4 linked regions of the Pelodiscus sinensis genome follow. The protein of the gene in region 1 binds, or shares a complex with, the protein of each later gene. Links are inferred from orthologs where the notes say so. Each region holds a gene or a part of one and is shown in the gene's direction. Other genes may lie near its edges. The genes, in order: DHX16, E3 ubiquitin-protein ligase RNF113A-like, SNRNP200 and SNRPF.

Region 1 (7,382 bases):
CTACCTTTTCAGCCAAAGGTTAAAGGTCACATCCCCTCCCCCCAAAATGGGTGTGGATGGACTAATTGTTAGTGGAGGGTGGCGAAGAAAACCACCCCGCCACCATACACACATGCAATTTTTTGTAACTCTTGACCCCTTTTTCTAGGGGATGTCGTGCAGGTGAGGAACTTTTGCTACCCAGTTTTTACTTCCTAATAATGCTGCCCGGGTGGTCAGAGTTAAGGGGAGTTAGCGTAGCACAGTGGGGGTGGGGTCTATTGGGGAAGGGAGGGATCACTTTGCTACTTGACAAGTCCCACTCATAACTGGAGAGGATCACTGTTGGAGGCGGGGCAATCTACGACTGGGGCGGAGCCACTTGAGACGGAGGCGGAGCCAGTCAGTATTTGGAGGGTGGGGCAAATTGCTATTTTGCAGGGGTGGGAGGGCCATTTGTAAGTAGGCTGGAGCTAGTTACAGGTGGGGCCATTTTTGTATACTTGAGGCAAGCCTAGTTGTGTTGGGGGGGAACGGGGCAGTATGTGGTTCGAGGGTGGGAGCCAGAGCCAGCCAGGATTTGGGGAGGAGACTGGAGGTGGGGGACGACGAAGTGATGGAGGCAGAGGGCGGGCCAAAGGGGTGACTTCCTGTTTTAGCCATCCCACTTCCTCTTTAGGTGGAGCAATTTCACCTCCTTTCATGGGGGCGGGAGGAGGTTGTGCCATGTGACTGTGGACTTGGATGAGTGTGTGGGGACGAGCGTGAGCGTGGAGGGAATGGGGAATTCAGTGTGTGGGGAGGGCACGGAGTGAGTGGGGGCGGGCCTGGATGGATGGATGAATGAGCCCCTCCTCCGTGAGTTTAGTTCATTCTCGTTATGACTATTTTTTTTCCTTTGCACTGGGGGAAGCAGTCGCGTCCTCGCCCAGGAACGAGGGGGCGAGTGAACGAACAAATGCGGCACGCTCCTCCCCCCGCCCAGAGCAGCCCTGTGGTCACGGGGGCGAGACGTCCAGGGGCAATAACCCCCCCTCCTGTTTAACCCTCTCAGCAGGAGGCGTCTGTGCCCTGGCGGGGGGAGGGTGCCGCAGCCGGCCAGTTCCAATAGCGTTTTTTTATATGTGTTATAATAATAATAAAACGGAGAGATGTTGCACGTGAAGCCGCCTCCCTATCATCTGTGGCCCACGTGGTCTGGGAGGGGTGTGGGAGCCATCAGGACCTGGTGCCCCTATACCTTTTGGAGGTGATCTAGATCCTGCTGTGAGGGCGGGGGACTGGACTCGATAACCTCTCGAGGTCCCTTCCAGTTCTATGATTCTGTGAACGGGGGGGGGGTGCTACCGGGACCTCGCTCCCAGATGCCACAGGAGGGGAGGATGGGTGCTGTCAGGACCTAGCTCCCATGTACCCCTTGAGGGTGAGGGGTGGATGCTGCCGGGACCTGGCTCCCATGTACCCCTTGGAGATGAGGGTTTGCCCTGCCAGATCCTGTGCGCCCCCTGGGGGTTGCAGCTCTGCCCTGTAGGCACCTGAGCCCCCATTCACTCTCTCCCGCCCCCTAGTGGTGAGGCATTGACAAGGCGGGATCCCCCATTCCCGCCTCTCCCGCTCACCCCCAACACTCAGACCTCCACACTGGGGAAGACCGTGGCTCTTTCCTGCCCCCTGGTGGCGTGGGTGCTGCACTGCCTCCTAGCCCACGTTGCCCCAGCCTCCGAGCTCCGCACTACGTTGCTGCAGCCCCACCGAGGCTGAAATCCCTGCTAGTGTGTCAGAAGGAGAAAATCCCACATGTCCAGGCAACCTTCAGCTGCCTCTGCATCAATGCGCCCTTGATTTTTTTTCCAGCCCTGTGCGGAGTAAATTTTGTTCTATGCACCAAGGCATGTGCAGATGTGCACCACCAGTAGAAACACATGCTGCCGGCTGAGGGCACTCTGCTATTCTGGGCGGCATTTGACTCGCTCTTGGGTGGCCACCCAAGTGCCCAGCTTATAGGGAACGCTGCTTTGCAGCTCCCCCCCCCCCCCATAGAAGAACAGTGCTTGAGACAGGACTACAATGAGAATGAAGCTTTGCTGCATGATGCCGTTAAGCTAGAGACAATGACATTACGTGGAGGAAGTCAACTCATATGCCTGGAAATACAGATAAGAGCTGGCTCTGTAAAAACGATGATGATCCTACTTTTGAAGGCAACTCAGACTCTGGTCAATATGGCAGGAAGCCAGCGGAGGTTGTCTGCTGGGACATACGGTAATGTGCCTACTGAAAAATGTGACTCATGGGTCTAGAAGCAGAGTTGACTCATGCCTGGAAATAAGGTAAACAATCAGATGGGACGCTGATTTGTCTGTAAATATGATAAAAAACGTAGTCGGGAAGTTGACTCAAATGCTAGTAAATACAGAACCTGTGAACTGGGGAGGCAGCTGAATAGGTTTGTAACGGTGCTAAAAGAGAGAGGCCGGAAACTGACTCATACCCAGTTAACTATGGTAAAAATCTGATGGGCAGACACGCAGCTAGTTACAGAAAGGAACCAAATTAGGGCAGCAGCTCCTAAGTGTGAAAACATTGGCTTGTGCAAGGGAAGTTGGGGTTAGAGAAGGGACAGCCAGATAGCTATCATGACAGTGAGCATGAGGACAACTGCAGCTCCTATACCAATAAAAACGAGGAGCAGGACCATGGTAGCTGCTCATGTGCAGGTTATAGGGTGCACAGACTGGAGCTGTGGCTCAGACGTGAGCAGTAATGGTGAAGGGCCGAGCTGAGGGGGCAGCTTGTGCATGGGTCATTATGGTACAGGTCCCAATAGTATTTGAGGCTTGTACACTAGTAATTATGGTAGAGGATTGACTTGGAAGGGAGGACCCACACAGTGACCACTACACTGGTGCAGAGCCCGTTCTGGATGTATCCTGTCCTCTATTAATTGCAGTTCAGATCCATGTTAGAGCCCATGCATGGTTAATTATGGTACAGACCTGAATTGGTTCTGCAGCTTGTATTACAGTAATTACGGTGCAGGCCAACATTACACAAGATCGCTGATAATGGCACATTCCTAATGTGTGGATTACACCTGCACGTACAGTAAAGAACCTGACTTCTCCATGTGCTGCCTCCCCACCAAACTCCTGTGAGGATCAGCCGGACTGGGCTGTGCTTCTGCCTGCAGCTGGTAGGATGGTAACTGAACTGGATCGATTCATGGGGAATTGGTCCATCAATGGCTATTAGCCAGGATGGGCAGGGGTGGTGTCCTGAGCCTGTTTGCCAGAAGCTGGGAATGGGTGACAGAGAAGGGATCACTTGACGATTCCCTGTTCTGTTCACTCCCCCCTGGGGCACCTGGCATTAGCCACTGTCGGCAGACAGGACACTGGGCTAGATGGACCTTTGGTCTGACCCAGCCTGGCCGTTCTTATATTCTTACAGTAAAAATCCCACCCCAGCGTGGGGTGTGTGTATATCCATAATGACAGCATGAGGTGAAAACTGGAGGGGGCATGAACTCCTGTAAGTACGGTAAATGGATAGGTGTGTGGCGGGATGCCATTAGGGTAGCATGTCTGGTTGGATGGAGGGGAGGCTCATGTTATGGTCATTATGGAAGCCAGTCTGGCTGTATGATGAGCAATCCTGTAATTACGGTAAAAGGGGCCCGGCCCGAGAAGGAGAGACTCATATTGCTATCTTAAGGGATCTGTTTGGAGAAGGTGCAGAATTACAGAGTCAGCTGGAGAAGGGGAGGCTCGTAATCCTGTAATTACGGTAGGCTATGTGGCCGGAGAAGGGGCAACTAATTTTCTCACAATTACGGTAAGGTGTCCGCTGAGATGGAGAGGCTCATATTGCTATATTTATGGTAAGAAGCCCGGCTGGAGATGGAAAACTCCTACTCCCGTCATTACGGTAGAGGGGCCTGCAGAAGGGGAGGCTCATATTGTTATAATTACGGTAAGAACTCCTATTCCTGTCATTACGGTAGAGGGGCCTGCAGAAGGGGAGGCTCATATTGTTATAATTACGGTAAGAACTCCTATTCCTGTCATTACGGTAGAGGGGCCTGCAGAAGGGGAGGCTCATATTGTTATAATTACGGTAAGAACTCCTACTCCCGTCATTACGGTAGAGGCAGAAGGGGAGGCTCATATTGTTATAATTACGGTAAGAACTCCTATTCCTGTCATTACGGTAGAGGGGCCTGCAGAAGGGGAGGCTCATATTGTTATAATTACGGTAAGAACTCCTATTCCTGTCATTATGGTAGAGGGGCCTGCAGAAGGGGAGGCTCATATTGTTATAATTACGGTAAGAACGCCGGCTGGAGATGGAGAGACTCCTATTCCTGTCATTACGGTAGAGGGGCCTGCAGAAGGGGAGGCTCATATTGTTATAATTACGGTAAGAACGCCGGCTGGAGATGGAGAGACTCCTATTCCTGTCATTACGGTAAAGAGCCAGCTGGAGAGGCGCTTATTGCTTTAATTACGGTAAAAAGTCTGGCTGGAGGCGGGGCCGCTCATATTCCAGACACTACGGTAAGAAGTCGCCCGCAAAAGTGGAGGCGCGTATCCCTGTCCTTACGACCAGAGAGTTTTGCTCGCGGTGGATATTCCGTTCATTACGGTAGCGGGCGAAGGCGGGGGCGAGCGTGGGTTGTTGAAGTCTGACGCCGCTCATAGACCGGTCATTACGGTACAGGGCGTTACGCCGGCGCGCTATGACGATGGCGGAAGCCGTTGGCCCGGGCGGTCACGTGGCCCGGAAGCGGGGTACGGTGGCCCACGGGGGGGTCCGAAGCGGGGGCAGGATGGCGGCGCTGGAGCGCTGGGTGTCGGGCGAGCTGCACGCGCTGCTGGGGCTGAGCGAGCGGCACGTGGTCGCGTTCCTGCTCGGCCTGGCCCGGCGCAGCCGCAGTGCCGACGAGCTGCTGAGCCGCCTGGAGGAGACCGAGACGCTGCGCGTGAGCGAGCCGGCCGTGCGCGCCTTCGCCCGGCGCCTCTGGGAGCAGGTGGGCGGGGCCACACCGCGGGGGGCGGGGCCATTAGAACGGAGGGGCGGGGCCACAGTGGGGGAGGGGCCATTGGGCTGAGGGGGTCACACTGGAGGGGGAGGGGCTAGTGGGGGAGGGGGGTCACAGGAGGGGGAGGGGCTAGTGGGGCTGAGGGGGGGTCACACTGGAGGGGGAGGGGCTAGTGGGGCTGAGGGGGGGTCACACAGGAGGGGGAGGGGCTAGTGGGGGTCACACAGGAGGGGGAGGGGCTAGTGGGGCTGAAGGGGGGTCACACTGGAGGGGGAGGGGCTAGTGGGGCTGAGGGGGGGTCACACAGGAGGGGGAGGGGCTAGTGGGGCTGAGGGGGGGTCACACTGGAGGGGGAGGGGCTAGTGGGGCTGAGGGGGGGTCACACAGGAGGGGGAGGGGCTAGTGGGGGTCACACAGGAGGGGGAGGGGCTAGTGGGGCTGAAGGGGGGTCACACTGGAGGGGGAGGGGCTAGTGGGGCTGAGGGGGGGTCACACAGGAGGGGGAGGGGCTAGTGGGGCTGAGGGGGGGTCACACAGGAGGGGGAGGGGCTAGTGGGGGTCACACAGGAGGGGGAGGGGCTAGTGGGGCTAAGGGGGGTCACACAGGAGGGGGTGGGGCTAGTGGGGGTCACACAGGAGGGGGAGGGGCTAGTGGGGCTAAGGGGGGGTCACACAGGAGGGGGTGGGGCTAGTGGGGGGTCACACAGGAGGGGGAGGGGCTAGTGGGGCTGAGGGGGTCACACAGGAGGGGGAGGGGCTAGTGGGGGTCACACAGGAGGGGGAGGGGCTAGTGGGGGTCACACAGGAGGGGGTGGGGCTAGTGGGGGTCACACAGGAGGGGGAGGGGCTAGTGGGGCTGAGGGGGGTCACACAGGAGGGGGTGGGGGTCACACAGGAGGGGGAGGGGCTAGTGGGGCTGAGGGGGGTCACACAGGAGGGGGAGGGGCTAGTGGGGCTAAGGGGGGGTCACACAGGAGGGGGAGGGGCTAGTGGGGCTGAGGGGGGGTCACAGGAGGGGGAGGGGCTAGTGGGGCTGAGGGGGGTCACACAGGAGGGGGTGGGGCTAGTGGGGGTCACACAGGAGGGGGAGGGGCTAGTGGGGCTGAAGGGGGGTCACACAGGAGGGAGGGGTCACTGGAGGGGGAGGGGCCAGGGGGCGGGGGGGGTCACATAGGAGGGGGAGGGGCTAGTGGGGCTGGGGGGGGTCACTGGAGGGGAAGGGGCCAGTGGGGTGGGGAGGGTCACACAGGAGGGGGAGGAGCTAGTAGGGATGAGGAGGGGTCACACTGGAGGGGCTGAGTAGGGCCAGAGGGCGGAGTGTCAGGCAAGGGGCTAAGGGCCTGGGGAGAGGAGGAGACATGCTGGGGGGCAGGAGAGGGAGTGGGGCTGAAAGGGAAGGGCCTGTGAACAAAGGGAGCAGGAGCAGTAGGGATGGAGAAGGCGCCAAGGGGGGAGTCCTGTGAGGTTAGCGGGCGAGGCCTATAGGGGATGGGGCAGGGCTAGCCCTAGCAGTGTCCTGTGGAGGTTGGGGGGGGGAGGCAGGGGAGGAGGATTTAGGGAGAGGTTACCATGGCAGGAACTACATGGGAAGGAGAAAGCTTAGCAGAATGGGAGGAGCCTTTGGGGAGGGGGAGGAGCCAACTGTAGAGGCGGGACCTGTGTGCTAAGTGGGAGGAGCTAAAGGAGAAAGCAGAAGGGGGGGGGCAGGGAGCGAGCACTGTCTGTGCAGTATTTCTAACCCCACCCCTGTCTCTGCCCTGCTCTTAGGTCCCACGTTCAGCTCCGCAGGAGCGTCCGGCCCGGGTGGCCGAGCGGGAGGCCCTCGCCCTGCAGCAGAAGAACCGCTCGTACCAGCTGCTGGAGGACAGCGAGGAGGAGGAGAGAGATGCGGGGGGGGCCCCAGGCTCTAAGCACTGCCCCGAGGGGAGAAAACACAAGAAGCGGCGCAAACACCTGCGCCGGAAGCAGGAGGAGGCGTCAGAGGAGGAGAACGAGGCAGAGCGGGAGCCGTGAGTGTCGCCTCCGCTGGGGGATCTTAGAGGGTGGGGCGAGGGAGAGTCCCCTGCGCTGGGGCTCCCCGGGGCTGGCTAGTGCCCTGACTGTGGTCTCTGGCCCTTCCCCGGATGCAGGGAGCCGGCCCCGGCCCTGGAGGGAAAGGACTCGGAGGACGAATGGGACCGCAGCGAGCGGGAACGCCTGCAGGACCTGGAGGAGCGCGACGCCTTTGCCGAACGGGTCAAGCGCAAGGACAAGGAGCGGACCAGGAATATCCTGGAGCGGTCGGACAAGAAGGTCAGAGCCTGCCCTGCGACCAGCACCCATCCCCAACCCTATCCTTGCTGCTGGATCCCTCCTTGGTGCC
Region 2 (7,586 bases), on another chromosome or scaffold:
TGAGTGCTACAAACCAGAGCATCTGAGTGCATTGTCTGGCTCTGCAGCTAGTGGGGATGTAATTATAGAACATGGCCCCGCTTGATTATTACAGGAGGATGATAAAAGGAAGAATCAGGGAGCGACAGATGGTCCTGGGCAGCCCATTGTTTGATCAGAAACCTGCTCAATCTCTAAATAGCTCAAGCCTGTAACATCAGTTAGCGGGAACATGCTGCACCTTCTGAACAGTGACAAGGACAGACTCGTATACATTTCGTTACATCAAAACAAGGCCAGGAGGAAAGGATTTAATCTCGTTAAAAGAAGACCGAGGTCAATATTCCGTGGGGAACCCAACATGTTTTTCTAAAGAACCGAGTGTAAATCTATCTGAGAGCAAAATGGAAAAGGATGGTGGGGTTGCTACAGAGACAAGATAGATGAAGCGGTATCTTGTTTTGGTCCAACCTCTGTATTGGTTCAACCTCTTGAAAGAGACAAGCTTTCAAGCTACACAGAACTGTTCTTCAGGTCTGGGAAAGGTACTCAGATATGTCACCGCTAAATACAAGGTGGAACAGATTGTTTGGCATAAGTAGTTAACACATAGGCTATGTCTACACTCGCGGTTTCTTGCGCAAGTAATATGCAAATGAGGCTAAGCGTGGAATATCGCCGAGCCTCATTTGCATACCTAATGAGCCACCGTTTTTTTCAGAAGAGGCTCTTGCACAAGAAGGAGCGTCTACACTGCCCCGTCTTGCGCAAGAAAAACCCTCTTGCGCAATGCTGTTACACCTATTACTTTTCAGGAAGAATGGCGTTGCGCAAGAGGGTTTTTCTTGCGCAAGAAGGGGCAGTGTAGACGCTCCTTCTTGTGCAAGAGCCTCTTCTGAAAAAAACGGTGGCTCATTAGGTATGCAAATGAGGCTCGGCGATATTCCACGCTTAGCCTCATTTGCATATTACTTGTGCAAGAAGCCGCTAGTATAGACATAGCCATATTGTAAGAGACCATGCAAAATTCCTCTCAGTCACATATGCCCCGCAACAGGGGTTATTCCAGAGGATGCCTGCGTAGCTCACGTTAGAATCTAGTCCCCTTTTAGTCCTTAGCAGACATGATCCACATGACATGAGAAAAGCTCAGAAGGGAACTGCTCAGTTATTGCAGTGGTGGTGGTGGGGCTGTATAAGTACCAGAGAGGGAGGGATGAGGTGCTTTGGCTGAACAGAGTGAGAGCTCATGTTTAGAATAGCTGGGGATGCTGTAGACCAGAATGAGATGCATCAGCAGGGGCCTTGGGATTAGAATAGTGATGGAGACTGTAGATAAGGACTATGTGCATGGGCAGAGCTGGGGTGGCACTGGAACGGGAATGCCAGAGGTCATTGTAGATCAGGATTGAGGTGCATTGGCAGAACTTGAGGTGCATTGATACCAAGCTGGGAGCGGTTGCAAGTGCTCTGGAGAATAGGGTCATAATTCAAAATGATTTGGACAAACTGGAGAAATGGTCTGAGGCAAATAGGTTGAAGTTTAATAAGGACAAATGCGAAGTACTGCACTTAGGAAGGAACAATGAGTTTCACACATACAGGATGGGAAGTGACGGTCTAGGAAGGAGTGCTGCAGAAAAGGATCTAGGGTTAATAGTGCACCACAAGCTAAAAATGAGCCAACAGTGTAACACTGTTACAGAAAAAAAGCAAACATGATTCTGGGATTCACTAACAGGAGTGCTGTGAGCAAGACACGAGAAGTTATTCTTTCGCTCTACTCTGCCCTGATTCTGCCTCAGTTGGAGTGTTGTGTCCAATTCTGGGCACCACATTTCAAGAAAGATGTGGAGAAATTGGAGAAGGTCCAGAGAAGAGCAACAAAAATGATGAAAGGGCTAGAAAACATGAGCTATGAGGGAAGACTGAAAGAATCGGGCTTGTTTAGTTTAGAAAAGAGAAGACTGAGAGGATAAGATGCAATGGGCTTAAAATGCAATAAGGGAGGTTTAGGTTGGACATTAGGAAAAACTTCCTGTCAGGATGGTTAAACACTGGAATAGTGTAGGGAGGCTGTGGAGTCTCCATCACTAGAGATATTTAACAGCAGATTGGATAGTAATCTGTCAGGGATGATCTAGACCAGGGGTGGACAAAAGCCTCTTAGCAGGTGGGATCTGGCCCTCCTAGGGCTTTGATCGGGCTTGCAAGGCAGTTCCAGGCCCCACCCCCGAGTGCAGGGGTCGGCAACCTACGGCATGTGGGCAACTTATGGCAAGCAAATCAATTTTCAGCAGCACGTGGGAGGAAGCTCAGCCCTGCCCTTCCTCCCCCATGAAGCTGCTGGAGAGCGCTCCCTCCTCCCTGCAGTGTGGATGAAAATGAAGCTTTTTCGGGAAAACGGCCGTTTTTCTGAAAAAAACTCTGTAGTGTAGACATACCCTCAGGTGCAGCCACATCAGTGAGCGCTGGAGATTTTTGGAGGAGTTTTTTTGCTTCTCACTTGTGTGGTCCCCAAGTGATTTTTCTGTGGGTCAGTGCTGGGTGGCTACCAGGCAACAGGTTAGCAGCAGGGCCAGGAGCTGCCAGCCATGTTATGTGAATTCTAAGCCTCCACCCCAGACAACTCTGGGAGGAGGCTAGCCTCCAGCACCCTCCATTGGCCAGAAGTCAGGAGGTCGGGACCCGAGGCCAAGCAAAGCTCTCCACAGGGTAGTCGTCAATCCCACTCCTTCCGCCCAATGCCCCACCCCTTCTGGGTCAGCCCGCGGCCACTTCTGAAATTTGTGAAGTGGCCCCCTTCAAAAATTATTGCCCACTCCTAATCTAGACGGTGCTTGGTCCTGCCATGAGGGAAGGGGAGTGGACTTGATGACCTCTCGAGGTCCCTTCCAGTTCTAGTACTCTGACTCTATAACTGTATTTGTCTGACCATACAGTCTGAAGAGAGTGTTCCCAGTCTTTCCTGTACTGGGCACTAACACACTTGAAAACTGGGCATCACCTCTAGAAATGAGACACTGCCTGTAGGTGGCTTCTGCTACCCACAGGGAGGCTGGTACGATTTGGAGATGCATCCACTCTGAGCGGAACATGCCAAATCATTTCACACCAGCCACTAAAGAAGAGAAAGACTTTTGGTTATTTCTTAGGTGACCAGAGAGCAAATGTGAAAAATTGGGATGCAGGGGAGTAATGGAAGGGGGGGTAATATGGTCCTTTTTAAGACAAAGCCCCTAATTTCAGAATGGTCTTGATAATATCATGATGTCTGGTCACCCTAGTTACTCCTGACCCTGACACAAAGGGAACTATATAACTCATCCCACTCCCAATCCTTTGAGCCATCCAGGATCACCAATAAATCCCCCACCAAATACACTGAATCCTCTTTACTGGAGGATAATGGTGATACCCCATGCTGCCAACCACACTCTTTGCTTGGCTAGTTCAAAGTTGGGAGCCAAATGATTTGCATTGGGGACGCTTTCTGCTCACAGGAAGCAAAGCAAGGTTGCAAGAAGATGAGACACAGGTGCGAGGAGGAATTAACCTTTCAGGTGCCATAAGCTTGGGGATACACATGCTTCCTAAGCATTTTGTTGGCAGGCTGGAAAAGAGCAGTGTTCTTGGTATTCAGAAACAGCTGCTACTGACTCAGAGTAGCTTATAATAATCTTTTCTATTAGCTCCTTTCAGACATAGGGATTGCAAAGAGCTTTACCATGGGAACGCAGGCACCTCTAGGCTGGGGTGTGGGAGGCGTTTAACAGGGCACAGTAGTCTGGGAAGAGACCTGCTGTACTGTAACAGCCAAAGGTGGAGTTTGGCCAGGAAAGAAAGGCTAATGCCCAATACTACCTAGGAGTGCGTGGGGCTCCGCAGTGTTCGGCTTTCCCCCGTTCAGAAGGGAGCACCCAGCAGGCCAGGGTGCTTGCACCAGCCTCTCACCTGCAGGGCAGGGAAGCATTTCCCAGCCTGGGCCCTCGGGCTAGTCTCATTAATGCCCCCAGGAGCCACAGCACAACTGCCTGAAGCAGAGCAGCCCAGGGGGGGCGGCATCAGACCCTCTCCTAGCTGGGAGGGGTAGCTGCTCTCTCTGGGCAGCCCCTGAAAAGGGAAAGCTCCCTTCTGAGGCCCCTGTTTCCCTCTCCCCTCCTGGGGCGCTCCTGCCCCTCCCCTTCCTGGGGCCCCCTGCTTCCCCCTCCCCTCCTGGGGCGCTCCTCCCCCTCCCCCTCCCCTCCTGGGGCGCTCCTGCCCCTCCCCTTCCTGGGGCCCCCTGCTTCCCCCTCCCCTCCTGGGGCGCTCCTACCCCTCCCCCTCCCCTCCTGGGGCACTCCTACCCCTCCCCCTCCCATCCTGGGGCACTCCTACCCCTCCCCCTCCCATCCTGGGGCACTCCTACCCCTCCCCCTCCCATCCTGGGGCCCCTGCTTCCCCCACCCATCCTGGGGCGCTCCTACCCCTCCCCCTCCCCTCCTGGGGCGCTCCTGCCCCCCCCCCCCCATCCTGGGGCCCCTGCTTCCTCCTCCCCTCCTGGGCGCTCCTGCCCCTCCCCCCGTGCTGGGGGCCCTGCTCCGCTCCTCTCCCAGACACAGCAAGCGGAGCCAGAGGCTGCGGTTCCCCCTCCCCGCCGCCAGGGGGCCCAGCGCGGCGCTGCTGCCGGCTGCTTCCTTTCCGCTCCAGCCCGGCCCGTCTCGTTGGCGCCGGTGGGTCCTTCTCTCCGCTCCTTGCCGGCCCCTCTCGTTGGCGGCGGAAGATGGCGGAAGAAAGCCCCGTCTGCAGCTTCCTGTTCAAGAAGCGGGGCCCGGCCGCCGGTAGGGGGCGACGCAAGCGGCCGGGCAGCGACCAGGAGCAGGGTGAGGCTGGGGGGTCGCTCCCCTGCCGCGGACCGTGCCATTATCGCGGGGAGGGGTGGTGGTGAACGATGCGTTTCGGGCTATGCCATTTGTACTCGGGGGGGGGGAGGGTTTCTAGGTTTGTCTCATTATCACTGGAGACGGTTTCTGGATTGATCCATTATCAGTAGGAAAGGGGGGAGATTCCGGGGTAGGCTGCCCCACTGTCACTGGGGAAAGGGGGGTTCTGGGCTGCCCTAAAGTGTGTGTGTGGGGGGGGGAGGGGTGTTGGGCTGTCCCACTGTTACTGGGGAAAGGGGGGTTCTGGGCTGCTCTAAAGTGTGTGTGGGGGGGAGGGGTGTTGGGCTGTCCCACTGTTACTGGAGAAAGGGGGGTTCTGGGCTGCTCTAAAGAGTGGGGGGAGGGGTGTTGGGCTGTCCCACTGTTACTGGGGAAAGGGGGGTTCTGGGCTGCTCTAAAGTGTGTGTGGGGGGGAGGGGTGTTGGGCTGTCCCACTGTTACTGGAGAAAGGGGGGTTCTGGGCTGCTCTAAAGTGTGGGGGGGGAGGGGTGTTGGGCTGTCCCACTGTTACTGGAGAAAGGGGGGTTCTGGGCTGCTCTAAAGTGTGGGGGGGGAGGGGTGTTGGGCTGTCCCACTGTTACTGGAGAAAGGGGGGTTCTGGGCTGCCCTGAAGTGTAGGGGAAGTTGGGCTGTCCCACTATTACTGGGGAAGGGGTTGAGGGTTTCTGGGTTGCCCTAATGGCATGGGAGAGGCAAGGCGTCTGGACAGTGCCACTGTCCTGGTGGGTGGGGGAGCCCTGACATCCTGGAGAGGCCTGGGGGCGCCCTCCCCACTCACCCCTCCCCCTTGGTTGCTCCTGCCCCATGGGACTCTTGAACTGATGGTGCCTTTTTCCCTTGGAGGGGCCGGGGGCCCCCCAAGGGCTGGTGCCCAGCCTCTTGCGCAGGCTGAGTGGCCCCCAAAAGCCCCGTGCTCAGGCCCTGGCATGTGGGGGTGCCCCTTGGGGTGAAGGGACATGGGGCCAGGGCCTGACCCAGCCCAGCTGCTCCTGCCCCTCAGGGCCCTTGAACTGATGGCGTCTTGTCCTCCGCAGGGAGTAGCAGCGATGAGGGGAGCACGGTGGTCAGGAAGGAGAGGCGGCGGGACACCCACAACCCCATGATCCAGAAGGTGACCAAGCCCATCACAGAGATGCCCAGCTCCATGCCTTGTCCAGTTACTGCATCCCACCCTGTGTGGGACCAAACTCCTGGTCAAGTGGGGGTGGGATGGGTCCCACATTCGGCCCCTGGAAATCCCTGGGGGGGGGTGCCAACACCATGAAACTGCTCAGCAGCTGGTTTGCCAGCACCCTCCCTCAGCTGTTGCAGTGTCATACACCCAGCCTATGGATCCAGCCAGTTATACATTTTATTTGGGCTCATGACAGATTCAGACTATACAGAATTCAGGTTCTCACCTAACAGCCCCCCTGCCTCCAAAAACAAAAGAAAACCCATCCCTCTGTTTTGAGCCCATTTGATTATGGGAAAATTCTTTCAAATGTGCAGACAGTAATTGATGCAGAAGTGACTTCTGGGGTATGCAATGCCCCACGGTCAGAGAGGTGAACTTTCCTCTCAAGGGGGTAATTTATGTTTCAAAGCCTAATGAGGATATACAAAGGACTAGATTTTACTAATCTGTGAGCATAAATGCACAGGTTGGGTAAATGCATATGAAAATGGCCAGCATAGGGCAGTAAGTGGAAGATCTAAAAGATCTAAAAGTATCCTGTGTGACTTTTACCCAGTGTGATGCAGTATGCCACAATAACTTCAGTTAACTTCAGTAACTGAAAATCTAGGCTACTGCTTTGCTGGTATAACTATACTGGTGTATTATGTCAGCAAAGGGGTTCTAGTGTGGATGCAGTTTCTATTGATTTTACCAGTATATCTTATTTCATCCCCCACCCCAAGAAAGAGTAATATCAGCATCAGTGAAGTTTTGCCTGTATAGTAGTATCTGCTGGCACTGCTAGGAGGGGTCAGGGATCACACCCTGGCATGACAGAAGCATACTGGCAGAATTCTAAAGCTATGGCTATCCCCTGAAGCAGTTAAGCTGTGTAAGGATTCTATGGCTTGTTTGATTTTTCTCAGACCTCCTATTGTTATCCAGTGGAGATGCACGGCAGATTGAGGGAAACGAAAAGTTCTGGCATTGTAGGCTCACAGATCCAAATTAAACCTATAACTTGGCTCTCTTAATGCAAGAATTTTACTCTGTGATGCCCCTTGATCTAGGAGAATCAAAGGAGTTTTGCTCTGCCCTCCTTCCAGCCCAGCGGTGGCTGCATTAAACCAATGCTTTGTGGATATGGGCCCTGATTTTGACAATTTTTCACTCCACTGATTTGCTTTCCTGGGCTGCAACACTGTCTCTGGCCAACCAGGAGAACATGTCTGGGTGTTGTGTTGTGTGGATCTTTCTCAGTTCTTCAGATATTTGCCTTTCCATCTTTCAGACCAGGAAAAGTGATAAAGAGAAGACCTCGTATGGGGCAAGCAGCAGTGATGATGAGGGGGAATCGCAAGGAATTGGTGTCGCTTACAAATCAACGAGATCAGCGGTAAGCACAATGCGCCACATGGCTTTAAAAGGGATCAGAAGGGACACTAAGATCACTTACTCTGGTCTCTGTTATGCAGACTATGTCATTGGTTGGTTTTATGATTGGGCGCCATGGTCAGGTTTTGTTA
Region 3 (7,450 bases), on another chromosome or scaffold:
CAACAGGTCTGACCCAGTACGGCCATTCTTATGTTCTTATCCACTCAGGCTCTGTCTACACTGGACCACTTATTCCGGAAAATCAGCCGCTTTTCCGGAATAAGCTGCGAGCTGTCTACACTGGCCCTTGAATTTCTGGAAAAGCAACGATGCTCTACTGTACAAAATCAGCCGCTATTCCAGAAAAACTATTCTGCTCCCGCTCGGGCATAAGTCCTTATTCTGGAACACTGTTCCGGAAAAGGGCCAGTGTAGACAGCCCAGTAGTCTTTTCCAGAAAAAAGCCCCGATCGCGAAAATGGCCTAAATCTTCAGCCATACCGTGTTGGGCTTTGGGTCTACCCACCCTGGGTCCTGCTCCCCCCATACCTGCCTCAGGTCCTTGGGTGTACCCACCCCATGTCCTGTGTCCTCAGCCATACCTGCCCTTGGCCATACTCACCTCCCCGCACCATCAACTATATCCACCCCAGGCCACAGGCCCTCAGTCATACCTGCCCTGGGTTCTCAGATGTACCCACCACTGGAGCCTGGGTTCTCGGCCATACCTGCCCTGGGTTCTCAGCTATTCCTGCCCCTGTACCTGGGTTCTCAACTGTATCCATCCCAAGTCCTGGGTTCTTGGCCACACTTGCCCTGGTTTCTCACCTGTACCTTTTCCAGGCCCTGGTTTCTCAGCTGTACCCATCCCAGGGCATGGGTGTTGTCCTTAAGAGTACTGCATGAGGGTATGTCTACACTAGAAAGTTAGTTCGAACTAACGGACGTTAGTTCGAACTAACTTTCCTATGCGCTACACTAGCGCTCCGCTAGTTCGAATTTGAATCGAACTAGCGGAGCGCTTAGTTCGAACTAGGTAAACCTCATTTTACGAGGACTAACGCCTAGTTCGAACTAGCTAGTTCGAACTAAGGGCTGTGTAGCCCTTTAGTTCGAACTAGTGGGAGGCTAGCCCTCCCCAGGTTTCCCTGGTGGCCACTCTGGCCAACACCAGGGAAACTCTATGCCCCCCTCCCGGCCCCGGACCCCTTAAAGGGGCACGGGCTGGCTACGGTGCCCGTGCCAGGTGCAAGCCTGCCAGCACCCAGCTAGCAGACCCTGCACCTGGCACGGCACAGAGCCACCCACCCGATGCCCCCCAGCCCACCCCCTCTTGCCGGGACCAGGCTGGCGGCTCCCGGGAGCTTGCCCTGGACCGCAAGAGGCGGGCACCTTCCTGGGCTAGTGCGGACATCGTGGACCTCGTCCACGATCTCCGCACTAGGCACAGGAAAGTGGCCGTCTAGGGCAGGAGAGCTGCCAGCCTGGCCACCCAGGACCAGGTGTGCATGAAAATCAAGGGGGTCCACTGAGACCCCCGACACTGAGCCCTGAGCTTACAATGGCCGTACTGGGTCAGACCAAAGGTCCATCTAGCCCAGTAGCCTGTCTGCCAACAGCGGCCAACCCTAGGGACCCTGGAGGGGATGGACCGAAGACAATGACCAAGCCATTTGTCTCGTGCCATCCCTCTCCAGCCTTCCACAAACTTTGGGCAGGGACACCACTCCTACCCTCTGGCTAATAGGACTCCATGGACCCAACCTCCATGACTTGATCTCACTTCCCTTTAAACTCTGTTCTAGTTGTAGCCTTCACAGCCTCCTGCAGCAAGGAGTTCCACAGGTTAACTATTTGCTTTGTCAACAACAACAACTTTCTCTTACTAGTTTCAAGCCTGCTACCCATTCCTTTCCTTTGGTGTCCTCTAGTCCTTCTTTATGGGAACTCAGGAAGAACTTTTCTGAATGCACCCTCTCCACCCAACCCCTGCTTTTAGAGACCTCTATCCTGTCCCCCCTCCGTCTCCTCTTTTCTAAGCTGAACAGTCCCAGTCTCTGTAGCCTTTCTTCATCTGGGACCTGTTCCCAACCCCTGATCATGTTAGTTGCCCTCCCCTCTCCCAGCCTTTCTCTTCCCCTCTCCCACCTCCTTTTCCCAGTCTCCCCCAGTTTTTTTCAATAAAGACAGAGTCAATGTTGGAAGAAACGTTATCTTTATTTTGTACATCAATAAGAAGGGGGGCTAGGGAAGGGTAAGTGGAAGGAGGTGAGGGAGGTATGGGGTACGAGCCCCCGATGGCGAGGACTGGGCTGGCTCTGCGGGCTTCTGGGGGTGGAAGCTCTCCTGCTGCCCCCCAATTACCCCCTCTCCCCAGATGGCAGCCTGCGGCAAGTGCAGCCGGGGTGATGGCCGAGTGGTGTGATGTGCTCAGTGTGGGCACTCAGGGCACTCCAAGCCAGAACTTCTTTGCAAGCGGGGCACCCCTGAGAACTGTGTGTCCGGGGTGGGGGTCGGGACCCTTTAAGCGCAGCCCTCGGCTAGCCTGAGACAGCATCTCCATGCTCTAAGTCCTCCTTTTATGCCCTGCCGGCACTGCTTCCGGCCAGCCTTAAGCCCTGTTCAGAGTCCACTCAATGTGGACTTACTAGTTCGAACTAGCAAAACGCTAGTTCGAACTAGTTTTTAGTTCTAGATGCGTTAGTTCGAACTAGCTTAGTTCGAATTAACTAATTCGAACTAAGTTAGTTCGAACTAGCGCTGTAGTGTAGACGTACCCTGAGATCTTTTCAGGGCAAAAAGGCAAAACACCATATTTATTGGTAGCACATATATCAATCAACACTTATCATATGCATATGATAACACAAGCACACCCCATCTTCTTGTTGTTACCAATAATTGTTCCCTCTAACTGCACTGGCCAGGTGAGTTAGGTGGGGGAGGGGTAGAGGGCTTCTGCAGATCTGGGTAGGTGCTCCCATGTTGACAAGACAAAAACCCAGGGTCCCTCTGCAAGATGCCTTAGATTTATAGTGTCTTCCCTCTCCTGCAGATCTCCACCAGTTGGTCATCACATGCATATGCATCATCTGTAAGAGTCATCATATGCATATGCAGTTAAGTGATAGAAATGTAGCCGTGTTAGTCTGGGGTAGTTGAAGCAAAATGCAGGACAATGTAGCACTTTAAAGACTAACAAGATGGTTTATTAGATGATGAGCTTTTGTGGGCCAGACCCACTTCCGAAAGCTCATCATCTAATAAACCATCTTGTTAGTCTTTAAAGTGCTACATTGTCCTGCATTTTGCTTCATATGCAGTTAAGACATCTGTGGCACCTTCTTTTGGGTGGTGTCTCAATGCTGCCACATTCTCCTTCAAAGAGGGTGCTTCCAAAAGCTGGCACTTGCTGCTGACTCCCAAAGTGTCCATATGTCCACTCATCTTTCAATGAGCCCACTTCACAGATCCCATTGTTCTTCTCATTGTTCTTGGATCTGGCTTCCACCCCTCTCCAACCTTTGCAAGTGTCCAGAGGTGGTTGTCTTTCATGCCTTATCCATTCACACCTCATTCACTCAATAGGACAATCAATTACGCAAAACGGGGTACAAAGTCTACAAGATACAAGGTTTCTATGTAAAAAGACTTAATACAAAGTTTCTATGTTCTATATGAAAGTATACAAAGTTTCTATATAAAAGGACTTAATGTAACAAAGCTAAAGACGTAATACAATGCTAAAAGAACTTGATACAGAGTCAATTGATAAAAATGTCAATGAGAAAATAATTAATACAGAGATTAATGAGATGTATCTACATGGGTTCTTGGCTGTACCCACCCTAGGTTCCCGACTGTACTTACCCCGGGCTCTGGGTTGGGTTGTACCCACCGCAGGGCCTGGGGTCTTAGGTTATACCTGCCCTGGATTCTCAGTTGTACCTATCCCAGGGTCTGGGTTCTGGGCCGTACCCACCCTGAGTTCTCGACTACACCTGCGCTGGATGCTCATTTGTACCCACCCCAGGATCTGGCTTCTCAGCTGTACCTGCGCTGGGGCCTGGGTTCTGGGCTGTACCTGCGAACCCGGAATGTCCATGGCCCAGCTGTTGCCTGGGGCTACGAGAGGTCAATAAAAGGGCTAAGGGGCATGGGCTCTGTGCCAGCTGAAAGTTACCCCTCCCAGGAGCCAGCACCGCCTCGCCTGCGCCCCGCCACCCGCACTGCGCCCAGCAGGACACCGCTGCGCAGCGCGCTTCCCTGCATCCCCCGCCAGCTTCTTCGCATCCAAACAAAACCGCGAAGAGGAGGAGCCCTGCCCCGCCCAGACCAGACCAATGCTCCGGGGGGCCAGGAGCCCTGGGGCCATGCGCATTGAAACTCTGCCCACCCTGCAAGCGGGAGCTGATCCGCCTCGGGGGCCACGTGGGCGCTTCCTGCCATCTGAGCACGCGCACGCCTGATGGACACAAAGCCCGGCCCGTCGCTAGGCAACGCGGGGCGTGTTCGGGCCAGGGCCAGCTCTTCGGGGGCGGACCCATGACGTAATATCGCATGGCCCCCTGGCCGGGGGTGATGACGTATGGGCGAGAGGGCCTCTTGAGAAGCAACGGCTCGTTCTTCAGCACTTCCGGGGTGTTCCGGAAGTACTTGCTGCCTTGGTTCGGACGTGCGTGCGGTGCTGCGTTTCCGCTTGGTCGCGGCCGGGGCCGGGTAGCTGAGGCGGCGCCATGGCTGATGTGACCGCGCGGAGCCTGCAGTACGAATACAAGGCGGTGAGTGGGGGCGGGGAGAGCAGTCCCCGGAGAGGGGCGCGGGCGCCCGGTTTTGGGGGAGACGACTAGGCTCTGCCGAGCTTTTCTCGGGCGGCCGGTACATTCCTCACTCCGGTTCCCCCTCGGGGGAGGCCTGCCCGCCTGCTCCCTCAGCAGGTCCAGGGGCCTCGCGCTCAATCGGGGAGACTCCCGTGGACAGCAGGTGGGGTAAAGACTTGTCCCAGCCCTGTGGGTGCTGGTGCATAAAGGTCTCTAGCATCTGCTTTAGTGTCCCATTGAGCCTCGCCCCAGCCTGCTGAGGCTGCGTATTTCACACCCCAAACTTCTCCCACCAGCACCAGAGCAGGGCTGACATAAAGTTGAACCTTTGGTCTGCAAGGACCTCCTTGGGAAACCCCACTCTGCTGAAAATGGTTAGCAGTGTGTCTGCCTCAATAGAAGACCGAGCCACTGCCTCAGAGTAGTGAGTAGTGAAATCTTCCCAGTTTGGGTGGCTTTCCTGAAATGTCCCACTATATCCTTAGCCATCTTCTGGAAAGGCTCCTCTTATGATTGGCAGAGGCCTCAAGTTGGCTTTCCCCTTGTCCTGGGCCCTCCCTATCCTGTGGTAAGGGTTGCAGGACTGTTGGATAGCATCAAAGATTCCAGGCCAGTAAAAGTTCTGTAGCAGCCACTGCCTGGTGTGCTGGAGACCCTGGTTTCCCGAGAGTGGGATGTCACAGGTCAGGTACAGTAGCCTTCCAAGGTACTTTTTGGGAATCACCTACTGCTGCTGGACCCCCACCCCCTGCTATGACTCCACTTCCCTTGGGGATGGAATCCATTCCCGGTTCAGGAATCCCTTCAACCACAGGAACCTCTCCTTGCATTCTTCCCCCAGCAGTTGTGCTGCACTGAGGCCAGCCAGGTCCCTCAGCTTCTGTAAGGAGGGATCTTTCTGCAACTCAGCCTTGAGTTTAGCAGCCAGGGAAGGGATGGAGACCTGTTCCCCTTCACAGCCTGGGTCTGACATCACAGCAATGCCAAGCCTGGCTGTTGGGAATTTTCTGCCAGTGTAGGGCCCTGTGCCCCCTTCAGGTTACCCTCACCAGGGCAGAGTGCCTCTTGCTGGCTTTGGCTAAGGGTAGTGACCAGAACACTGTGGGGTCCTTCTTCCAGATCACTCCCCATCAGCACCCCAGTGGGCAAGTGATGGTGCACCTCCACCTCTTTTGGGCCCTTTTAGCCCCCCCATTTCAGGTACTCTTGCTATGGGTACCTTGAATGGGGTCCTGTCTATGCATGTCAAAGTCAGGTGGGCATTGGGCATCATCAAGTCTGGTGCCACCACCTCAGACTGGGCCAGTATTACCATAGCACCCTTGTCCCAGTGCCCCATGATTTATTAGGCAACAGGGACATAGCGTAGAACAGGCTTGTCAGCAGAGCAACCAGAAGCAGTTATTGCAATCTGTCATGTGGGGGGGAGGGCAGAGCCAGGGCCTCCCCCTGCAAGGTTCCCGCTAAGTTTTTCCATTGTTGAGTGAAATAAATGTATGTGCACTGAGAAATGTGCAGATGTGCACCACCAATAGAAACACATGCTGTGGGCACTCTGCTAATCAGCTGGGCAGCATCTGAATCTCTGCTGGGCAGCTGCCCAAGCACTCAGTCTACAGGGAACACTATCCCCCTGCTTCCCTAAAATAGCTGAGATTAATCTACATCCCCAGCAGTCTTGTCCCAGTCCCCAGCTTGGCCTTTTCTCCAGTTTTTGTCCTGCTTCCTGGGCAGCAGGTGCTCTTTCTCCCCCACCCCGCTTAGGTTACAAAGGGCTTCAGCCATTGTGTACATGTAGGCAGCTGGGGTAGCTGCCTTCAGCTATGGGAATTTTGGGTTGTATTTTCACTATCTAGGTATTGATGTAGTGCTGTGAGAAACTGAGGCACACACATGGGATTACCATAGGACAGTAGCATTCACATGCGACATCATAAAGTGAATAAAAGCCCCCAGTTTGTCATACCATTCCTTTCTTTGCATCCCTCACTGGGTTAATTTTCTTTATTATATCCAACATAAGCTACTGGTAAAAAAAATTAAAAAGCAGAGTCCTGCAGCACTTTAGCAACTAACAAAAAATATAGATGGTCTCTAAAGTGCTGCAGGATTATTGTTTTTTACATTTTTTTTTTTCAGTTACAGACTAACATGACTACCTTCTGAAGTGTATAAGCTACTTGTATATGCTTTCTAGGCGTTTGAAGTCATTTCCCTCTCTCCCTCTAATTTGCTCTTGAATAGTTGATTCCTACTTCTGGTTGGCTACTGCTACCATCGACTTCTTAAATTTCCAGGCAAGCATTGCCCTGCTTTCCCTGTACTGACCCTTTTCCTTGTGACACTACTTATAAATATCTGCAAAGCTACCTCATTTCTTTTCAGATCCCTTCTCAAAACTGTTTTTTGCCGTGAGGCCTACAAAAAGCTTGATTGCTAGTGTGCTGAGACCACTATTGATTGTCAATATTAACTCATTGATTCTTTAAGCTGTGCTAGTTGTATCCATGAGGAGTTCCTAGTTTTATACTTGGATTGTAAGCTTTTGGGAGCAGAGATTGTCTTTTGTTTGTATAGCACTTGGCACCACAGGGTCTTGGCTTATGACACTAGGCACCACAGTAATGAGGATAATGTATAGGAATTTGTTTGATTTCTTCACACCTCTTATCTGCTCTTGTGATGTTATCCCTTTCAGAATTCTAATCTTGTACTGCAAGCTGATCGCTCCTTGATCGACAGGACCAGGCGAGATGAGCCTACAGGGGAAGTGCTCTCCTTGGTTGGGAAGCTGGAGGGCACTCGAATGG
Region 4 (7,759 bases), on another chromosome or scaffold:
GTCACTACTACAGTCCTTTGAAATTCCAGCAGCCATAGTACACTCCTGTTGCCCCAGACTGTTGGAAGCAATATATAAGGGCATGTCTACACTTGGTAGTTATTTCAAAATAACTCTCTGTATTTCGAAATAACAAGGAGAATATCCACACTGCTGAGCTTGTTTTTTCGAAATAATGGGCTTGTTATTTCGAAATAGTAACTCCTGCTTGTGAAGAAGAATAAGCTTATTTTGAAATAGTTATTTTGGGAGTTATTATTTTGAAATAACTTAATATGAAATAACCTGATAGTGTGGACCTAGCTTCTAAGGCTAGGTCTACCCTACAGCTTTTTCCGATTTTTTTTTCGGAAGAGGCTTTTCTGAAGTTTGGCCCGTCTACACTGGGCCAAATTTTGGAAAATCCCCCTCTTTCGGAAGATCCCTTCTTCCTCATGGAATGAGGAGGACAGGGCTTCTGAAAGTGCGCGTTTGCACTTCAGCAAAAAAAAAAAGAGAAGAGCAAACGTGTTCCTGGACACAGCAGAGTTTTTCTGGGATAACTTCAGTCTCCTGGAAAACCCCCACAGTGTAGTGGGGTACTTAGAGACCCCTCTGTATTCCAGCCACAAACCATTCTATGCGGCATTCCAGAGGAACTGAGCATAGCTGTGCCAAAGGAGTAGAACTGTTGTACACACACTTCCAATCCCAACTGTTCACCTGTACAGTGATGAAGCTTCTGTCTCACTGTATGTAGAGATGTCTGTGGTCAAAGAGAAAGATATGTGATTTAGCTCAGTAATAATTAAATCAGGATTAGTTGTAGTATTTCTTTGAACAGTATGGAGACAGAATGAATTTGCCAATGATTTGAGGGGATATGATGCATAGGGGAATGGACGCTACTTGGAACTATAATTGTTTTCTGAATATACTCATTTTGCACACAAAAAGCTGAATATATTGAATATTAAGTGGAAGAAAATCATACTTACTGTGTACAGTAGCCTCAGTCTCAAAATAACTTATTTATATATTGGGGGAAGTACTTGTCTGATCAAATCCCGCTATGAGACTGCTGTGCTAACACATGGATTACTTAAATGTTACAAACTCAATATTCATTAGGGATGAAAGGAGTTAGGAGTTATAACTGCAGCAATACAGGCAGTCCCTGGGTTACGTACAAGATAGGGACTATAGGTTTGTTCTTAAGTTGAATTTGTATGTAAGTCGGAACTGGCTCCAGATTCAGCTGCTGCCACTGAAACTGACCAGGGGCTGACTACAGGAAGCCGGAGGCAGAGTTGCTCTGCCCCCAGCTTCCTGGAATCAGCCTGATCAGTTTCAACAGCTGCTGAATCTGGAGCCTGGAACAGAACAGCTGGGGCGCCGCCCGGTAGGTTCCCACAGGACCAACCCGGCAGCACCCCAGCTGCTCTACCCGAGGCGTCCCGCAACAAAAGCCTGGTCTGCTGGGGGGGGGGGGCACACTAGCTGCGCCCCCTCCCCCCCCAGCAGACCAGGGAGACCCGAGCAAAGCCGCACAGGCGGAGGGACCCAGGCGGCGGCTTTGCTCAGGTGTCCCTGGTCTGCTGGGGGGATCCAGCGGCTTTGCTGGACCCCCCCCAGCAGACCAGGGGGACAGAAGCAAAGCCGCCCAGGCAGCGGGGGTCCCGCCGCCTGGGCGGCTTTGCGCCCGGGCAAACAAGCAAAGCCGCCCAGGCAGCGGCTTTGCTTGGGTGTCCCTGGTCTGCTGGGGGGGTCCAGCGGCTTTGCTGGACCCCCCCCCAGCAGACCAGGGAGACCGGGAGAAGCTTTTCTCACCCCGGAGGACACGGGTGGCGACTCGCCGCCCGTGAGCTCCGGGGCGAGAAAAGCCCCATTCGTAAGTGCGGATCCGACATAAGTCGGATCCGCGTAAGTCGGGGACTGCCTGTATACCTAAAGTTCATTAAGTGTAACCAAGTTAGGAAAGGCATTCTATGAATTCTATTGCCAAGAGAAGTAGTAGTAGTTCTACTGTCTGAGAATTAAAACTTTACTGCAGCTTCTAATCATGCACCAGCACGGACACAGATTAGATGGCTTTTTCCCCAGTTTTAGTTTTTATAATGGTATGCTCATATTAATTAAAACATCCTGCCCTATCAATTACTCTGTTATACAGAAATCCAGGCCACTGTGCTTTGCTGGCTTTATATGAAGAATATAAAAGAGTTTTGTACCAGAAGGCTACCCCGTACATCTCCAGACAGTCCTTGTGCAAGATAAGCAATGCCACCTTGTGGATAAATATATACACTCACACTACATTCACTTCTAGGGGTATGTCTACACTGCAATGCTATTTGGGGGAAATAGCTATCCCCGGGTCTTTTGAATGTGTCCGCTATTGCGAAATATAGCAGACATACTATTTCAGCATCCCTGTAAACCTGTTTGCATGAGAGATAAGGAATGTCTTGAAATAGTGTTTTATTTAGAAATTTGGCACCTGTAGATGTGCCAAATTTTGAAATAGCCTATTTTGAAAAAAAGACTAAATAAGAATCTAAATACGATACGCAAATTGCGTAGCGCAAATTGCATTGCACAAATTGCACATCTTATTTTGAGCTAAGGGTGTAGACGCATCCTAGGATGAGGCTGAATCTGGTTTGCAGATTTGTAACCCTGTGAGTTCCCAGGTTATTACAGACAAGGAGAGTGGGGGGTGGAGGAATATCTTTTAATGTCTGGATCAGTTTCAGTGGACGAATTTCATGTCATCCAGAAATATAAAAAATGAAGTTCTAAGTTGGGGGCAATGACCACTTTACCCCCAATCCTGCAATGACCTTTCATTAAAAAAAATAATTTTTTTTTGCTCAAATGTAACAGGCTCATTCTCAGCTCAGTAATGAATTTATTATTTATTTGGAAATATTTGTAGGCAAAATAGTTCAGTAGTTTTCAAAACCAAAAAGAACAAAATAAATTTAGTACTGTTTGGGAGGCACTTGCCTGCTCTGGCCAGAACTGGAAAAATAATGGGGCATGAAAAAGTCTATGAATAAATCATCAAAGTCACAGGACTGCGTGGAGCAGCTCTGTGCACTGGGTCAGGATGACACTAGGGCTATGTCTACACTGGTGGGTTCTTGCGTAAGAAATATGCAAATGAGGCTAAGCATGGAATATCGCTGAGCCTCATTTGCATACCTAATGAGCCGCCTTTTTTGCGGAAGAGGCTCTTGCGCCAGAAGGAGCTGTCTACACTGCCCCTTCTTGCGCAAGAAAAACCCTCACTCCATCCCTAGCAGCATGGATGCAGCCAGGTGAATGCATTACAGAGGATGACTTCTGAGGTGTCATTAGGCTGCAGTAATGGGGGTCACTGTAAGTACATTAAAGCAGTGGTTCCCAACCACCAGTCCGTGGACCAGTGCCAGGCCATGAACCGTTGGCTGCCAGGCTGTGGCACACTGCCAGGCCATCCCCATGCCTTGACAGGCAGGGGCTACCTGGGGAGAAGAGAACAGGAGGCTGGCTTGCAATACCTCGCCTGCCCCACAGAGCATTAGCTGCCATGGCTCTGCCCCCGCAGCCGAGTGTTTACTTCAGCTCCTCTCCTCTAGTATGGAGCAGCGGCATGGCCAGGGTGGGACGGACCAAACTGTTGCTGGGGAAGCTGCGGAGGGATGGTCAGAGGGCCTTGGCTACTGACAGAGGCTCGCTGTGGGGATGTGAGACCTTCCCACCTGTCCCATGTGCGTCCCCTGGTCCTAGAGGCAGGTGGGAGCATCCTGGCTTCTCATGCTGCAGCAGCTTCTACCTTCTCCAGGGGTCCCAGGTAGGCTGCAGTTGCTCTGCCCAGTTCACATGTGGGACATGGAGACTGGGGGGGGGGGGCCTATGTGACTCCCTCTTTCTAGAGGTGGGGACTAGTTCAGTGTGGTGGGGATAGGAGAGAGTTTAGGGTGTCTAACTTCTTTCCCTCTGGGCAGCAGGCAAAACAAAAGGCCTACCTCATGACATTTGCATGTCCAAAAGTTTCAGAGGGGCAGCCAAGTTACACTGTAATAGAAAAAAACTTAAAAAACAACAAATAGTCCTGCAGCACTTTAGAGACTAACAAAAAGTGTAAGTGGTATCATGAGATTTCCTGGGCATAATTACATTTCAAAGAAAGTTTACATAGGTGTTAATCACTCAAGATAAGAAAGGATTCTTTTAGAGAATTTTTAGTGTTGTAGATAACTGCAAACTCTGATCTCTTCCAATGACGTGTATTGTGTGCATGCTTATGCGATGTAAAATAACACATGACCTCTTAAATTAATTAGCATAATAAATATGCAAATAGGCCAATAAAATATTACCAACCCACCAAAAGTTTGTGAACAGGTTTGTGGGTCCGCAGCATTAAAAAGATTGGGAACCACTACACCGGCCCCTGACTCTGCAATGGGCGCCACGTGCTTGGCTCCTCCCTGGGCCCTAGAAGACACTCTGGCTCCCTCCTCTGCTCCCCCATCATAAAGTCCCTAAAAAAGCGCAAATCGAACTCCAGCCCGCGCACACAGAGGATTACGGTAGGGAAAACCAGCTGCTACAAGAAGCCCCTATGCAAGGGAAGGGGCGTGGCCTTCTAGCTCCGCGAGGGTTGCGTCACTAGCCACGCCCCGTCGTTCGGTCTAGCCACTCAGCACCCGACTTTTCCGTTCGCGCGCTAGCCCCCGGGCCCAACGGGATTCAGGCTTTCGTGGGCGGGCAAAAGGCGGGAGGTCAGCGCGCACTCCCGGAAGCGAAGGAGCGGACGTCACTTCCTGGCTTTCTCTCGGACTCCGGCGGGCGCACGTGCGGCCCAGCGAGTAATTTTTGTTTTCAGCGCTGCCTTGTGCCAGGCCGCGTTGCCATGGTGAGGGGGGCCGCGCCGCGAGGCGGGTGGGATTGCCGGGGGGGGGGGCGCCCTGGGGTGGGTGAGGGGCGGCAGGTGCCGGGGGAGCCCTGGCCGCGCTCGCGCTGACCCCGCTGTTGTGGTGACTCGCAGAGCTTGCCCCTGAACCCCAAGCCCTTCCTGAACGGGCTGACGGGGAAGCCGGTGATGGTGAAGCTGAAGTGGGGGATGGAGTACAAGGGCTACCTGGTGTCCGTCGATGGCTACATGAACATGCAGGTCAGTTGGAGCCGGGACGCGCCCCCCCTCCCCCGTTGGCCCCAAGGGCTCCGGGAGACCCGCCCCCTCGCGCAGCCTGGGCTTGCGGAAGGAGTTCGGGGGGAGACGGGGGCGGCTCAAACGTGGGCGTGTGGGGTTGCCAGCTCTCCCGGACCGGATGCCATTGCCGCAAATGGTGTCCGGTCCTACCTTTCGGGAGAGTTGGCAACTCCGTTCCGTGGGGAGTCGGGGGGTGCCTATGACAAGGTTGTTCAAAAGGGGACACGGGGTCCCCTTTGCGGCGTGAGGGTTGTTCAGGGGCCTCATAGCGGGGTCGAGGGCATCAGAGGTGAGTGACTTGCCTGCTATCAAAGAAGACCTGGCAGAAGTAGACCCAGATCTTACTGCTTCTGCACTGCCTAGTTCTATGTGGAGCCACCTACACCCTTGCTCCTGCAGTGCTCTGTGCAGGGCAGCAGCATCTCCAACATGAAGGTATGATTGGCTTGAGAACTGATGAAAAGGATTTACACAAAGTTTGGTTTGTAGACTAGTTCTAAAGCAACAGACCATATTTTGCTATATATGGCACACTCTTCTGGTCAGATTCTTCAATGAAAAGTGAAATATAATGAGCTACATGCATAATAAAAACAAAGAGTTCTAATGAGGTACAAGTTACTATTAAACAGACCCAGTTTCCCAAAGGGCCCAGTAGTCCTTGTAGAATGTCTTTAGCCTGACAATAGTTTATTGATTGCTGGCTGAGAATTTTCTTCAAACAATTGTGCTAATGTTTTGTTCCTTAAAGCTTGCAAACACAGAAGAATACATAGATGGTGCATTGTCTGGACACCTTGGTGAAGTTTTGATAAGGTAATTATCAAAATAGATTATTTAGTAAGTTATGTAGTGGATGTATTACATTTGTAGATGGACAGAACTCTTCAATTCCTTAATAGTCAGCCTAAAACAGTCTGAAAATTTGCAATATTAAATACTTTAGTTGCAGTTTCTAATTCTGTGCTAAGCAATTTCTGGCAGATCATAATAAAAATCATACTGGTTGCACCTCCCAAAACTGGAATTCTCTGGTCCAGCCAGACCATGGAAGTTCCTTCATCAGAGAACTCTGGTAGCCTAGTGGCAGGAGGGTAATCCAGGAGGAGCAGGGCTGAAGCAATGGGATGGGGCAGAGGTTAGGGCTGGCAGCAGCCCACAGCAGTGGAGCTGGAGCCAGCAGTTTCTGATAGCCTGTGGCACTGGGATTGGTCAGGGTAGCACCTGGCAGCGCAAGACTGGGACAGCAGCAGGCAGTCTGGCCGGGGCAGCAGGGCCAGCAACCCAGCAGGCAGCCCTGTCGGGCTGGAGGTAGTCCTCCATACCCGTTCCCCCCCCCCCCCACCCCCCCCTAAATCCCCAGCTGGCAGAGTCGGCGGCTGGGGGCTATGGTAGGAAACTTTTCTAGTCTGGCAACCTCCCTAGTTCAGGATTGGTTAGGTCCCAAATGTGCTAGATAAGAGATGTTCAACCTGTATTATCAGGGGAGGGAAGAACCAACTACAATACCCATTTCATAATTTCTCCTTTTTGTAACTTCTTTCATATACATAAATAAGATCCCAGATAACCAATGAATCTTTTGTCAATAGTTGAGAAAAATCTTACCAATAATATCAAGAAGTTAATTAGGCACTGAATAGTTTCACAGAAATGATGGGTCTCTAAATGAGGAGAGGTAGCAGAGACTCCAGTGAGTGTATGTGTCTGAGGAGGTAGAGTGGATTTTCAAAAGAGTATCAACAAATTTTTGCATATATATTAAGGTCCAGCTCCTGCAACTTTATGTGCTTGAATAGGGATGTTAGTGAGTAATTTGAATAGTTGTATAACTACATCAAATTCCAGTGGTTGCATGACTATTTGATAGTCCCCAGGGACTATTAGAGGCAGCAGCACTTGGTGGCAGCAGTCAGTGTTCCCTCTAAGCACAGCTTCATAGGTGATTAATAAGCTCTACCCAGGCTCAGGGAGCTGACTGAATGGGTGGGGATGATTAATCACCTGTAAAGATATGCTGCAGAGCAGATTAGAGGGAACACTGACAGCAGCCCCTGTCTGCAGGGGGGCTGAGCTCTCTTTGTTCACAGAGAGCTTGGACCTCCCGCAGATAGGGGCCACTGCTGCAGAGCAGCCTCCATTTGCAGTGAGCCTAGGTCCACTGTGGAGAGGCTGCTTTGTGGTAGCTTCTTCTGTGACACCCGCTCCTCCAGGTGGCTGAGCAGGTGACTCCACAGAGCGCTGTAGGAGGCAGCAAGAGTGGGAAGAGGCAGATGGGTCTGTGGATAGCCAGCCTAACAGCCTGCTCCCCATGCATACTGGCTCCCCTCTGCCCCCTCACCCTCTGTGCAAGGCAGCAGTGTGGGGGTGGGAGGGAGGAGGCGGATCCAGTGCTCATGAGGTGCCTGCTTAAAGCCAGCTCCCGTTCTCCCCCCCCCCCCATATTCCACTGTCTCTAAAGTGGGGGGAATACATGTAGTCAAAAGGATTAACTAATAAGCCCAGGCTTATTACTTAATCATATAGTCATCTGCTCATCGACATCCCTATGCTTGAAGTTAAGCATGGGCATCTGTT

Evidence for each region.
Region 2: DHX16 (region 1) and E3 ubiquitin-protein ligase RNF113A-like share a complex: the UniProt entries of both Homo sapiens proteins name them as parts of the minor spliceosome. The link is inferred for Pelodiscus sinensis from reciprocal best matches to the Homo sapiens genes DHX16 and RNF113A.
Region 3: DHX16 (region 1) and SNRNP200 share a complex: the UniProt entries of both Homo sapiens proteins name them as parts of the minor spliceosome. The link is inferred for Pelodiscus sinensis from reciprocal best matches to the Homo sapiens genes DHX16 and SNRNP200.
Region 4: DHX16 (region 1) and SNRPF share a complex: the UniProt entries of both Homo sapiens proteins name them as parts of the minor spliceosome. The link is inferred for Pelodiscus sinensis from reciprocal best matches to the Homo sapiens genes DHX16 and SNRPF.

The regions. Positions count from the first base shown.
Region 1 is NC_134742.1:11,515,147-11,522,528, reverse strand, and holds the start of DHX16 (pre-mRNA-splicing factor ATP-dependent RNA helicase DHX16), read left to right. Parts: upstream 1-4,382; 5' UTR 4,383-4,717; coding exon 4,718-5,008; intron 5,009-6,355; exon of another isoform or gene 6,356-6,451; coding exon of another isoform or gene 6,452-6,484; intron 6,485-6,787; coding exon 6,788-7,029; intron 7,030-7,149; coding exon 7,150-7,312; intron 7,313-7,382. UniProt on the Homo sapiens protein: Required for pre-mRNA splicing as a component of the spliceosome. Contributes to pre-mRNA splicing after spliceosome formation and prior to the first transesterification reaction.
Region 2 is NC_134739.1:6,623,072-6,630,657, forward strand, and holds the start of E3 ubiquitin-protein ligase RNF113A-like, read left to right. Parts: upstream 1-4,578; 5' UTR 4,579-4,741; coding exon 4,742-4,841; intron 4,842-5,935; coding exon 5,936-6,012; intron 6,013-7,351; coding exon 7,352-7,456; intron 7,457-7,586. UniProt on the Homo sapiens protein: Required for pre-mRNA splicing as component of the spliceosome. As a component of the minor spliceosome, involved in the splicing of U12-type introns in pre-mRNAs. E3 ubiquitin-protein ligase that catalyzes the transfer of ubiquitin onto target proteins.
Region 3 is NC_134738.1:241,350-248,799, reverse strand, and holds the start of SNRNP200 (U5 small nuclear ribonucleoprotein 200 kDa helicase), read left to right. Parts: upstream 1-4,443; 5' UTR 4,444-4,556; coding exon 4,557-4,601; intron 4,602-7,338; coding exon 7,339-7,450. UniProt on the Homo sapiens protein: Catalyzes the ATP-dependent unwinding of U4/U6 RNA duplices, an essential step in the assembly of a catalytically active spliceosome. Plays a role in pre-mRNA splicing as a core component of precatalytic, catalytic and postcatalytic spliceosomal complexes.
Region 4 is NC_134711.1:81,493,070-81,500,828, forward strand, and holds the start of SNRPF (small nuclear ribonucleoprotein F), read left to right. Parts: upstream 1-4,751; 5' UTR 4,752-4,882; coding exon 4,883-4,885; intron 4,886-5,017; coding exon 5,018-5,143; intron 5,144-5,933; coding exon 5,934-5,998; intron 5,999-7,759. UniProt on the Homo sapiens protein: Plays a role in pre-mRNA splicing as a core component of the spliceosomal U1, U2, U4 and U5 small nuclear ribonucleoproteins (snRNPs), the building blocks of the spliceosome.